3 linked regions of the Ovis aries genome follow. The protein of the gene in region 1 interacts with the protein of each later gene in a pairwise test. Links are inferred from orthologs where the notes say so. Each region holds a gene or a part of one and is shown in the gene's direction. Other genes may lie near its edges.

Region 1 (3,830 bases):
TCCGCGTGTCCAGGGGCCTCTCAGTCCCCACCTCGGGTGCCAGGAAAGACCCAGGACTTCCTCCTCAGTCAGAGGGGCTGCCCCCTCCTCCGAGCTCCAGGGGGACTTCATTAACCTTCACACCAGGACGTGTGACCTCTGGCACGCCGGCCACTGCACATGGGACATACAGATCTGTCTCTGGGGCCTGATTAGTGACCCTCCAAGGTCAAAACCGGCATCTCCTGTGACACCCAAAACGGGGCCTGCCACACGGAGGCGGTTGCTGTAACAGGGCTGTACGGAATAAAATGGAAAAATAACCCTCCTCGAATTTTTAACGCCAGATGACCCAACCGCTCATCCACTCCTGGTGACAATGAGGCACGGCTCTGTGGAGGACTCACTGTCACAGCTCACTGCAGCAGCTCGCGGGAGGACGTGCCAAGAGGAGCTGAGGCCCGACAATGCCCAGCATCCTCGGGAACCCTGCCCCCATCCTGTCCCTGGCCCACCGCCGCCTCCAAGGCCAGGCTACATGCCCACCCTTCTCTCTGAATCCTTCCTGCCTCTCAGTCCACAAGGGATCCCGTCCTCCTCTGAAACTCCCGACTCCTGGTTGAGGACAACGCCTCTGCCGCTGAGTCCTGCTCCATCTTGCGCTCCGGGCCTAGCACCCATAGGCTCCGTTAGGTAGGTTCTGCCCAGGAAGGAAGGTGGGGAAGGGCTGGGGTCTAGATTCCAGGCTTTGCTGCCTCATCTGGACAGGCTGACCCTCCCTCTTCAGGTGCAAACCCTCCCCGTGGCTCCCTGAGAACCTGAGCTGGTCAGAAATGCCACCCTGGGCTAAGACACCAGACCCAGCAGCTCAGGGAGCTAACGGCATCGGAGAGTCTGGTATTCAGCCCCTGACTGTAGGGAGGCCCCCAAGGGCAGGCTCCCTCCACGCGCCGGCTCTGCAAAGAGGCCAGGGGAATCTTGGCAGCTGGCACCTCCTTGGGGAAAATCCTAAGAGAGAGACAGACAGTAGCCGGTAGCCAAGAAGGGGTGAGAGGGACTGAGGCTCTGAGCGCCTGTTCTACCGGGCCTCCGGGCCCTGAAACCGTTGACACTCCTAGTTCAATAAAACCAGTGACTGATGAGGGACAGGTCAGGCTCCCACGGGAGGCAGGGCGCAGATCCAGCCGGGAGCTTTTCTTCCAAAGACCCAGCTGGGAAGCCACCTCCCCGGCCCTCCGCCCCACCGCGAATCTCGCCCCCCTCTCTTCCCAGGCACCTGCCCCTCCCCCGCCCCCACCCCTTCCTGCCCACCCATTCGCCTCGGCCCGCGGCGGCAGGAAGGGAGGTGCTGGGCTGGGCACGGGCCGTGAAGAGCCACCTTCCCTCTTGGCCCCGCTACCGCCACCGGGCGTCTCCGGCCATGAGCCCCACGGAGCCCTGGAGCCCCAGCGCGGGGACGGCGCCCTGGGACTATTACTCGGGGTCGGGCGCACCGGGCGAGCTGGAGCTGGAGGAGCTGTGTGCGGCGCGGGACCTGCCCTACAGCCACGCCTACATCCCTGCGCTCTACCTGGCGGCCTTCGCCGTGGGCCTGCCGGGCAACGCCTTCGTGCTGTGGCTGCTGTCCGGGGCGCGCGGCCCGCGGCGGCTCGTGGACACCTTCGTGCAGCACCTGGCGGCCGCCGACCTGGGCTTCCTGCTCACGCTGCCGCTGTGGGCCGCGGCGGCGGCGCGGGGTGGCCGCTGGCCCTTCGGCGAGGGCCTGTGTAAGCTCAGCAGCTTCGCGCTGGCCGGCACGCGCTGCGCGGGCGCCCTGCTGCTGGCCGGCCTCAGCGTGGACCGCTACCTGGCCGTGGGCCGCCCGCTGGCCGCGCGCTCCCCGCGCTCCCGGCGCTGCGCGCTGGCCGCCTGCGCGGGCGTGTGGGCCGCGGCGCTGGCCGCCGGCCTGCCGTCGCTGGCCTTCCGCCGCCTGCGGCCGCTGCCCGGCGGGGGCCACGGCAGCCAGTGCGGGGAGGAGCCGTCGGACGCCTTCCAGGGCCTGAGCCTGCTGCTGCTGCTGCTGACCCTGGTGCTGCCCCTGGCCGTCACCGTCGTCTGCTACTGCCGCGTGTCGCGCCGCCTGCGCGGGCCGCCGCACCTGGGCCGCGCGCGGAGCCGCTCGCTGCGCATCATCTTGGCCGTCGAGGGCGCCTTCGTGGGCTCCTGGCTGCCCTTCTGCGCCCTGCGCGCCGTCTTCCACCTGGCGAGCCTGGGCGCGCTGCCGCTGCCCTGCCACTTGCTGCTGGCGCTGCGCTGGGGCCTCACCGTCGCCACCTGCCTGGCCTTCGTCAACAGCTGCGCCAACCCGCTCATCTACCTGCTGCTCGACCGCTCGTTCCGCGCGCAGCTGCGGCAGCGCGGGGCCTGCGGGCGCGCCGACCGCCCGGCGCGCTGGAGCAGCTCGGCGTCATCACTCTCCGGCGACGACGGCTCCCCGTTCAGGAGCCCGGCCCGCGCGGGCGGCCGAGCCCAGACGGCGAGCGCCCCCAAGGCTGTCGGCCCGTAGCTGCTCGGCCGGCGGGCTGCGGGTGGCGCAGGGAAGCGAAGCGGGCCGCTCCCCACCGCCGCCTACCTCCCCACCTCCCCGAGCGCAGCGGACTGCTCCGCCGGGTGCGCGGGGCCTCCCGGGGTCTCCCTCACGAGCTTTCCCAAAATCTCAGCTCTTCCAGCGTCCACCCCCCCCAACCCCCGGCTCGGCTCCGGAGACCCGCTCTCCTCCTGCTCCGCCCAGTGCGCACCTGAGCTTTGTCTCCAGCGCAGTAAACGTCCTGCGAGATGGACCTGCCACGCCGACCCGGGCTCGGAAAGGGAAGTGGCCTCCCTGCTCTGCGCCCTGGGAGAGACGCCCAGAGGCCACTCTCGTCTCGGCGGCCCGTTACCTTTGGTCCCTACAGTCGCCATTGCCTGCTGAGAAATACCTTCTCCAAGCCGAACCCTCTGGCTCCTCTCCAAAGAATCCCGGACCTTTGCGCTCTGCCGTCTTGGTGGCTGTGCTGAGTCACGCGTCCGCATCTTCAATTTCAACACTCACCAAAGCATGGGGAGCACGGTGCTGTCGCGCTCACCCCTTCCTGCTGCCAGCGACCCCAGGAGGCCCGTCCTTCATCTCCCCAGCTCCCAAGAAGCCGCAGGACTCACCCTGGACTTGGGCGGGTGCCTCCCTGCAGACAGAGGGTTCCAGCATCTGTCCCCGGGCACTCGGATGCTCTGACCGGCTGCCACACTGGGCCCCGCAGTGTGAGTTCCCCTTTCTCAATAAACACTTGCTGCCCTCACCCGACAGCTGTGTCTGCCTTTACTTGAGTGTAAGGGACTGAAATGAGTGTGAGGGGGCCACTTAATCACTGGGTCAGACAAAACTCAATCCAGGAGTTGAGGCTGACCTCAAAGTGGTCAGGATTTGGTGTCAAGTTGGGCTAAGGACAGCGGCCCCGCCGTGGGCCCCCCAGGAGGGCAGCCTGTCTTCTCTTCTTACTATTTTAAAGGACGTTTCCCATTTTGGAGGTTTCAGAGAGAGAGGGAGGGGGAAAAGACTGGAGCACAGCTGCCAGCCAGGTGTCACTTCAAAGCGGAAGTGTGGCCTTGTGGCTGTCAAATCCTGGTGGAGCTTTCTCCTCACTCCCTTTGGGCCCATCCAGGACAAATGCTGAAGGGCATCCATGTTCTGAGTCTGCGGCATCCTTGGGGGTTTCTGGAGGGGTTGGGAATTCAGCCTTTATACTTTTAAGCAGATATGGCCTAAAGAAACGTCAGTGCAGGAAAGAACTCAGGAATTCTCCTGGAGAGCCGATCTCACCAGGCCTGCGCCAGGC
Region 2 (3,645 bases), on another chromosome or scaffold:
TTATTGAATTTAAATTGTTTTAGTGGAAGGAGGCAAAACCGGAAGACCTTATGGATTCAAAACTTAGATGTGTGTTTGAATTGCCAGCAGAAAATGATAAACCAGTAAGTATGTTTATAGTTAACAATAATTGAATGTTGCAAGCTGATACTTATTTGCATACCATCTCCTGCAAAACCAAGATTTAAGTTGGCAAATTATTTTCCTTCTTCTGATGTATGAAGAGAAAAATTCGCTGAAGTCAACAAATAAGTGGGCCTTTGTGAAATCTGCCTTTGAAAGATTCACAGAAAGAACTCATTGAAATTTTTTTTGCCTTTGAAAAGCACAACCTGTTGACTGTTGAAATGTCATAAATTCCGAAGAGCTTCTTTGACTTGGGCAAAGTTCTAGGTTGCTATTATATTTAACAGTGGGAAAGACGGTGAGCGCTCAGCTCCTCTTGTACAGTGCTGTCTGCAGGCTTCCCTGTCTGCATTTCTCCTGAGCACCAACTCTCCACCTCTTGAACCCCAGATTCTCTTCAGTCAAAATGTGCTTTTAGATGAGGATTTCTCACCCTTAGCCCTGCTGACTTTCGGGCCAGGAGTCCTTCGCTATGGTGCTGTCCTGTGCCTTGCAGGGTGTGTTGTGGCATCCTTGACCTCACCCCAGTAGCATCCCTGGTCGTGATGACCTGAAGCGTCTCTGGATGTTGCCAGGTATGCCCTTCCCGAGGCAGAGTCAGTTCCCGTTGAGAATCACCCTTTTTGCTGCCTGAGCACTGAGGGTAAGGAGTGACTCCCTCCCAGCTGCTGGCTCACTTTTCTCTGTGTGAAACCAAAGCATGAGCCCGGTTGGCATGAACCTCCCTTCACCCTAGTCAAAAAACTTAAACTGTGTTAACACAGTTTAAAACCCATGCAGAGTATTAAACCACCCTGGCTGTTAATAGCTGGTGGTGGGAATAGAAATGTTCAAACTCTCAACGTTATCCATAACAATCTCCAGGAATGCTGATGCTTTGTGTCAAAACTACTTAGCATTTTTTTTCTGCTCACTAATGGACCACCGTCACTATCCCATTTCTTCGAATGATTGGTGGTCTTCGTTCCTTTTTTCCCTTCCCTCTTCCCACAGCATGTTCTGTCAGTTGTGGATAGTTGAGGACTGTATTCTGGCCCCAGCTGTGCTCTTGGAGGTTAGCTCTGTGTGTTGAGGTCTTGCTTGCCAGGGCCTCACTCCTCTCCCCTGGGAGACTAAGGGTAGAGCTCGCTGTTCTCCGTTTGCTGCATGGACCCCCAAGGGCTTCCATGCTTCCCCGGCCCCCACATACTCACTCATCCCCAGTAGGTCTTCAGAGGGGATCACAGCGCAGTCGTGGCTGGGGAAGTGAGGAACACATTGCCTCCCCAGGATGAAATACCATAGACACTGAATTTGTTGCACCTTCATCCCATCGCTGCAGTTGTCTTAAGTTCAGGAGACAAATCACCCTCTGGGTTACGTCCCCTCTGGCCTTCTGCCCCCGCCCAGCCAGTTTGGGGGATGTTCGCGTCTTCATAGTGACTTGTGGCTGATGATTCCTGAGCTTGTGCAGCTATGCTCTGCTGATTTTTCATGGCAGGAATTTGATAGTGCAGTGCGCACAGCCCCTTTTCTCTTTCTTTGAAGTATTAGTCTCAGCCGGACTTCATTATTTGCCCTCATCCATAATTTCTGGAGCCCAGTTTTAGATTATGAAGATACTAGGTGATAAAGTGATCTGTTTTAAAAAAATGTGACATTGTACAGTTTGGATGAAACGCTACCCTGGGTGGTGTCTGCTGAGACCTACTTTACTTTGCATGAAGAAGTCCTTTAATACGTGGTTGGTGACACTTGGGCTTTCATTTATTTCTGAACAGCATGATGTAGAAATAAATAAAATTATACCCACAACTACATCAAAGACAGAAACACCAACGGTGTCTAAAGCTCTGAGTTCCTCCTTGGATGACACTGAAGTTAAGAAGGTGATGGAAGAGTGTAAGAGGCTGCAGAGCGAAGTCCAGAGGCTGCGGGAGGAGAACAAGCAGTTCAAGGTAATGGCATTTTGTTTCCTGATCGTCTTCAGGGAATTGGGGCTTTGCTACTATGGTCTTGGGTGAGGAGGTTGATGCAATTTGTGGAGTTGTCTTGTATTTGCACGTTTTTCCTCCAGGCTGAAGTTTCCTAAGGTTCTCAAAACAATCCCTGGACACATGCCTACGTGCATCCCAAAGTAAGAACCAGTGTCCCTTGAGCAGTATTTTTTCAACTATTTAAACTCCTGTCTCCTCATAAAATGACAACAGACAAATAAAAAATCCATTAGTGTAAATTGAAATTAAAAAAACAACAATGGTTATCTTGAGTTCACATTTTCAAGCCCCTTTTCCATCCCCATTGGATGAGAATCTTTTTGAAGAGAGTAAAGACTGACGTGTATTCTGTTTTAAGGCAATCATCATTCTGATTTTTGAATATCCTAAATAGGTCTAGCAGTGGGGTCTCATCCTCTATCAGTATGGTCCGGAGACTGGAGCTGGGATGCTGTCACATCCATGGGGGAGATTACAGGGAACCAGGGGCTCCAGCTTGTGGCCCTGGACCTGGCGAGTGGCCTGGCGCTGGGGGGTGAGGTCGCACTGGTGCTGGAGCGAGGCAGGTGTGCTCCTCTTGGCTTTGGAGGCCTGCGGTAGTGTGGAAATGACCAGCCAAACTTGGACTCACTGTGTAACTTTGTCCATCACAGCGGCTTCTGGCCTCTGTTTGCAAGACCCTGTTAAGGCCCTTCCAGTGTTGAAAGTATGCCTTTCATACACAGGGTTAAAGAGAGTGTTTCTGAACATCTGATTGTAGGATCTTTTGTTGCAGCTTAAGTCTTGAGGCTGATCTGTTCTTTTCATCTTGATCATGTCCCCAGCCACCATAGACTGTCACTCCCTGACTGCGTAGCACCAGGTACACACCATAAATTCACTGCAGGTGACTCTTCCTTCTGTTACTCTGATGAGGTAGGAGACATGGGGGGCCAACGGGGTTTAGAAAGTGGCATCCTTGTCTTTCTCTGCAGTAATCATGCTTTGCCTCATTCAGTGACTGCTGTTGGTATGGAGTAAATTATGAGGCTGACACTCTACTTTTGGCTAAAAGTCTAAGATACGCCTAAAGCTTCTTCTTGAATGTATTTCTCTTCTTTGCCATTTAAAGTGATAAATAGGTGGAAATAGCTTCTATATAAACCCAATAAAATAAATGCTGTACTTTGCTGTGCCCATTTTTTTTTTTTTTGAAGTTAATCGAATAGCACCAGTCATTTATCAGCATGCAGCAATATTGGCCATGCCCCTCAAGCAAAGTGTCTTTAAAATATTATCAGACCAGTCTTGACATTAGAAGATTCTTTATCTTGCCAAACAAGGATTTCTTGTTTTGTGTTGTTTCATACTTTCATTTGGCCACACATTTGCTAAGACCCTCCTGTGTGCCCAGCACTGTGGGATACAGACGTGGGTGGTCCCTGCCCTTAAAATAAGCCCCAGGGTAGCCGGGGAGACACAAATACTGAACCAGTCCCACAGAGGTGGCCATGAGTGTTGTGAGGGGTGGGCTTAAGGTGCTGGCTGCCTCTTGTCATCAGAT
Region 3 (3,645 bases), on another chromosome or scaffold:
CTGTTCAGATCTCAAGAATCACTGTGGCTGTCGGCTGTCCTGCTGATCATGCTGCTAGGGAGCAATACCTGACATATAATAGGAACCCAGTTACTAACTTTTGAATGATCAGTTGGACACAGACCAAATGGGTGTGAAAGTGGCTTCAGGAGGAAGATGTTGGGTTGTCCTTTCTGAAACTCATCTACTAAACAGTGAGAGAGCCAAGGGAGACTCCCACCCTAGAGGAGAGACAGGGCCCCTTTCTTAGAGGCTCTTAGCATCTAGCCTCAAAGCCGGTGTCTTCTCTCTGGCCTCAGGAGGCTTGCCAGATAGGAAGGCAGGAGGCAGACACCTGGGCAGGCTGACCAAGTGACCAGCATCTGAACGTGTAAACTTCATGTGCACCAGCAGAGGGCGTGCGGCCGCCGAGGAACTTGTGGCCGCGCTTTGGGAGACTCCCAGAGAAAAGGGAGGGACACACCCAGGAGAGATGGAGACTGAGGAAAGCAGGAGATGGAAAGAGAGAGAGTGACAGTGGAGGAAGGAGAGAGAAGCCTTGGAGAGTCGCTGAGTTACGGGAGAAGCAGCACAGAGACGAGAAGATGGGGGTGGAGGACGTGGAGACAGGCAGGTGGGACTTGAGGGCCAAAGAGATAGGGAGGAGAGTGGAAAGAGTCGGAGACAAAACTGGAGAAAGGACAGGACAGACAGAGAGGTAGAGACACTGAGGAAGGAAAGAGAACAGGAGAGAAGCAGAGTGACTTCTTCCTGAGGGGCCCCGGGAGGCTGAGGGTCGCATCTGCGCTGTAGATCCATGCAGCTCCTCAGATCCCACGACATCTGGAGCCAGGCAGTCCTGGGTGACCTCACTGGGCCACAGGGTCCTCCTGTATAATGTAGGGGGGCACCACGTCTCCCCTAACTGTAGGTCCTGCTCCCTTTCCTTAGAAGCCGAAGTTCAAACCCGAAGGGGCTAAATTTTTAGCTCAGTACAGAGAACCCTTGAAGAGTTAGTGCGATGAGAAATGGCAATCAGATGTTGAACATGTGACCTTGGGCAAGTTTCCCACTTGTCTGTGCCTAAGTATCCTGGTTTGTAATCATAGCAGCCACTGTGGTTCATGTCAAATGCTCAGAAGAGGCGTGGCTCCTAGTAAATGCTGAATAAATGTGCAGTTTTATTATCGAGCTTCCAGATTTTATTAATATCTTATCTCCTCTCTAGGAGGGAATTAGCCCCCACTCACCCACCCACGCATTTTCCATAGGAAGAAACTGAGGCTTAGAGAGACTGAGTCCCTTGCCCAGGTTGCACTTGAGTCTGCCAGACCTTGCAGCCTGCACTCTGCTACACCCATCTGTTCAGGGGCAGGGCAGGAGCTTCAGCGGTCACTTCCAGCCCCTGGAGAGATCCAGTGGGTCCAGGGGTGGAGAATGTGTAGGCTCCTTCTATATCTTGGAGCATTTTTTGAGTGCTGCTTTGTGTGGGCACAGTGGATACAGCAGCAGACAGACCCCAGGATGTTCACATTGTGCGGAGGTGGGAAGCAGGAAGTGCTCTTCACTTACACAGACCTCACCCTCCCAGCCCCAGGGAGGGGGAGGATCACTCTATCCACCCATTTTACTGGTGGGAAAACTGAGGCTCCAAAAGGCAAAGAGACTTGCCCACAGTCCTGCAGCTGGAACTCTGAGGTCGGAACCGCACCACCACTCACCCTGGCTGGATTGTCCCATCCCCCTTTGTTTCAGGCCCCAGCCCGTGGGCGCTGATGATGCCAGCCAGCCTCAGGGATGTGGGGAGGAGAGACCCAGCCCTGAGGCAGGCTGAGAGACCGGAGATGCTGAGGGCAGGCGGGATCGATCCAGGCTGCCCGCGCGATATTGGATTGTTCCTGGTTCCTGGGCCCCCTTCACCCTCCGCTTCTCCCAGAATCCTCTCTTCTTCATCCTCCTCTGTCCCTCGCCCCCTCTAAGCCAGGGAAGAGAGGGGAAAAGGCTATAAGAGGGTTTGTTCAGTATTGTGGGCTCCTGAGCCGGTTGGACACAAGGGATTAGACAGCGGGGGCGGGGGGGGGCACTTCCTGGCCTGAAGGATGAGGGGGGCCCACATTCCCAAATCGGGGGATGGGGAAGGTGACTCGAGGACCCTCACCTTGTGGCCCCCACCAGCCCAAACCCCAGGCAGCTTGGAATGAATTCCCTCCCCTCTGCAGGAGCCCCTCTTTGTTCTTCATCGTCCCCCTCCCCACAGATGGGCTGGCCCTCTTGTCTCCTCAGTGTACCTCTGGGACCAGGCAGAGGACGGGAGCCTGGGGACACTGCTCAGCTTAGAGGAGCAAATACTCAACTCCACGTTCGAAGCTTGTGACCCCCAGAGAACAGGTCAGAGGGTCAAGGAATAATAAGGAACGAAGCTGGGGGGCTGAGAACTGGGGGGCCACAGACAGAGGGATGGGCTGGGGTGATGTGGTTGACTGGGAAGCTTCAGGAAGGAAATGGATAGGGGATGGTGAGGGGAGGAAACCTGGGGGAGGAGGGTAAGCAGAGGAAGGCGGGGCTTTGGAGCCTGGGGGAGGGGGAAAGGGCAGCCACTGTGGGCCTAGTGGGGCTCAGCTGGTCCTCTTTGGTCCAGCTCTGAGGTGCAGATGACTGGGCCCCGTTTCCAGGTGAAAACGTTGACTCGGGGGAAGAAGAAGGAGTTGCCCAAAGGCCACGGTGCAGGGGTGCCACCAGCCCAGCCCGTGGTCCCCACCCCTCTCCTTATCCTGACGCAGCCTCCCTCACAGCCTCTCTGTCCCCAGGCACTGTGGCTGTGACCCATCTGCTAGCCTACCTGGAGGCCGTGACTGGACAGGGTCCCCAGGATGCTCGCCTCCAAACACTGGCCTGCAGCCTGGACCCCAATGGGGAGGGCCCTCAGGCCACTGTGGACTTGGACACCTTCCTGGTGGTCATGCGGGACTGGATCACTGCCTGTCAGCTGGATGGGTGGGTCCCCGCACCTCCATCCCCCACCCCAGCCCCCTCAGAAAACCTTTCTTAAGACCTAAGCTCATACCTGCTTACTGCAGCCAGCACGCTTTGGGCACAGGGACCTGCTGTGGTTGGAAGGAGGCTGAGAAGAGAGGAGAGTAGAGATGAGGTTGGGGTGAGGGAAGGGTCTGAGGGCAGAAATGAAAGGGGCTGGAGAGTGGAGAAGGGGGATGTTGAGAGGCTGACAGAGGCCCCTCCCCACCCCTCCAAGCACAGGCTTTGCCCCTCCTGCTTTTCCATCTGGCCCCAGGCGCTTGCCATCTGGCCTCACCTTCCTCCCCACGGTGCTTGCTCTCACCTGACCTGGCCCCCTCCCATCACCCGCAACCCCCTGTCGGAGGCTGGTCAGGATTGGGGGGGGTTGGCTGCAGGGGCCCTAAGCCTCATCCCTTTGATACAGGGGATTAGAGCTGGAAGAGGAGACGGCCTTCGAGGGAGCCCTGACCTCCCAGCAACTGCCATCTGGTGAGATCGCTATATATAGAATGAAGCAGGCAGGCCTAGGGTCAGACAGTGGGGGGGACTTCCCATGGGGGCAGAGCAGGGGATAGGGCCAGACCCCAGAGACATTTGTTCTAACCTAGCTTTCTAGGCACCTGCATGACTGCCTCCCCACATGCCCTGAGC

What was found.
Region 2: the proteins of GPR25 (region 1) and VAPB interact in binary tests that used the Homo sapiens proteins (3 or more experiments, as listed by UniProt). The two-hybrid records come from large-scale screens. The link is inferred for Ovis aries from reciprocal best matches to the Homo sapiens genes GPR25 and VAPB.
Region 3: the proteins of GPR25 (region 1) and KASH5 interact in binary tests that used the Homo sapiens proteins (3 or more experiments, as listed by UniProt). The two-hybrid records come from large-scale screens. The link is inferred for Ovis aries from reciprocal best matches to the Homo sapiens genes GPR25 and KASH5.

The regions. Positions count from the first base shown.
Region 1 is NC_056065.1:78,883,438-78,887,267, forward strand, and holds GPR25 (probable G-protein coupled receptor 25), read left to right. Parts: upstream 1-1,320; 5' UTR 1,321-1,399; coding exon 1,400-2,524; 3' UTR 2,525-3,298; downstream 3,299-3,830. UniProt on the Homo sapiens protein: Orphan receptor.
Region 2 is NC_056066.1:57,609,311-57,612,955, reverse strand, and holds part of VAPB (vesicle-associated membrane protein-associated protein B/C), read left to right. Parts: intron 1-23; coding exon 24-104; intron 105-1,886; coding exon 1,887-2,063; intron 2,064-3,645. UniProt on the Homo sapiens protein: Endoplasmic reticulum (ER)-anchored protein that mediates the formation of contact sites between the ER and endosomes via interaction with FFAT motif-containing proteins such as STARD3 or WDR44.
Region 3 is NC_056067.1:55,594,448-55,598,092, forward strand, and holds part of KASH5 (protein KASH5), read left to right. Parts: intron 1-2,262; coding exon 2,263-2,367; intron 2,368-2,786; coding exon 2,787-2,973; intron 2,974-3,418; coding exon 3,419-3,483; intron 3,484-3,645. UniProt on the Homo sapiens protein: As a component of the LINC (LInker of Nucleoskeleton and Cytoskeleton) complex, involved in the connection between the nuclear lamina and the cytoskeleton.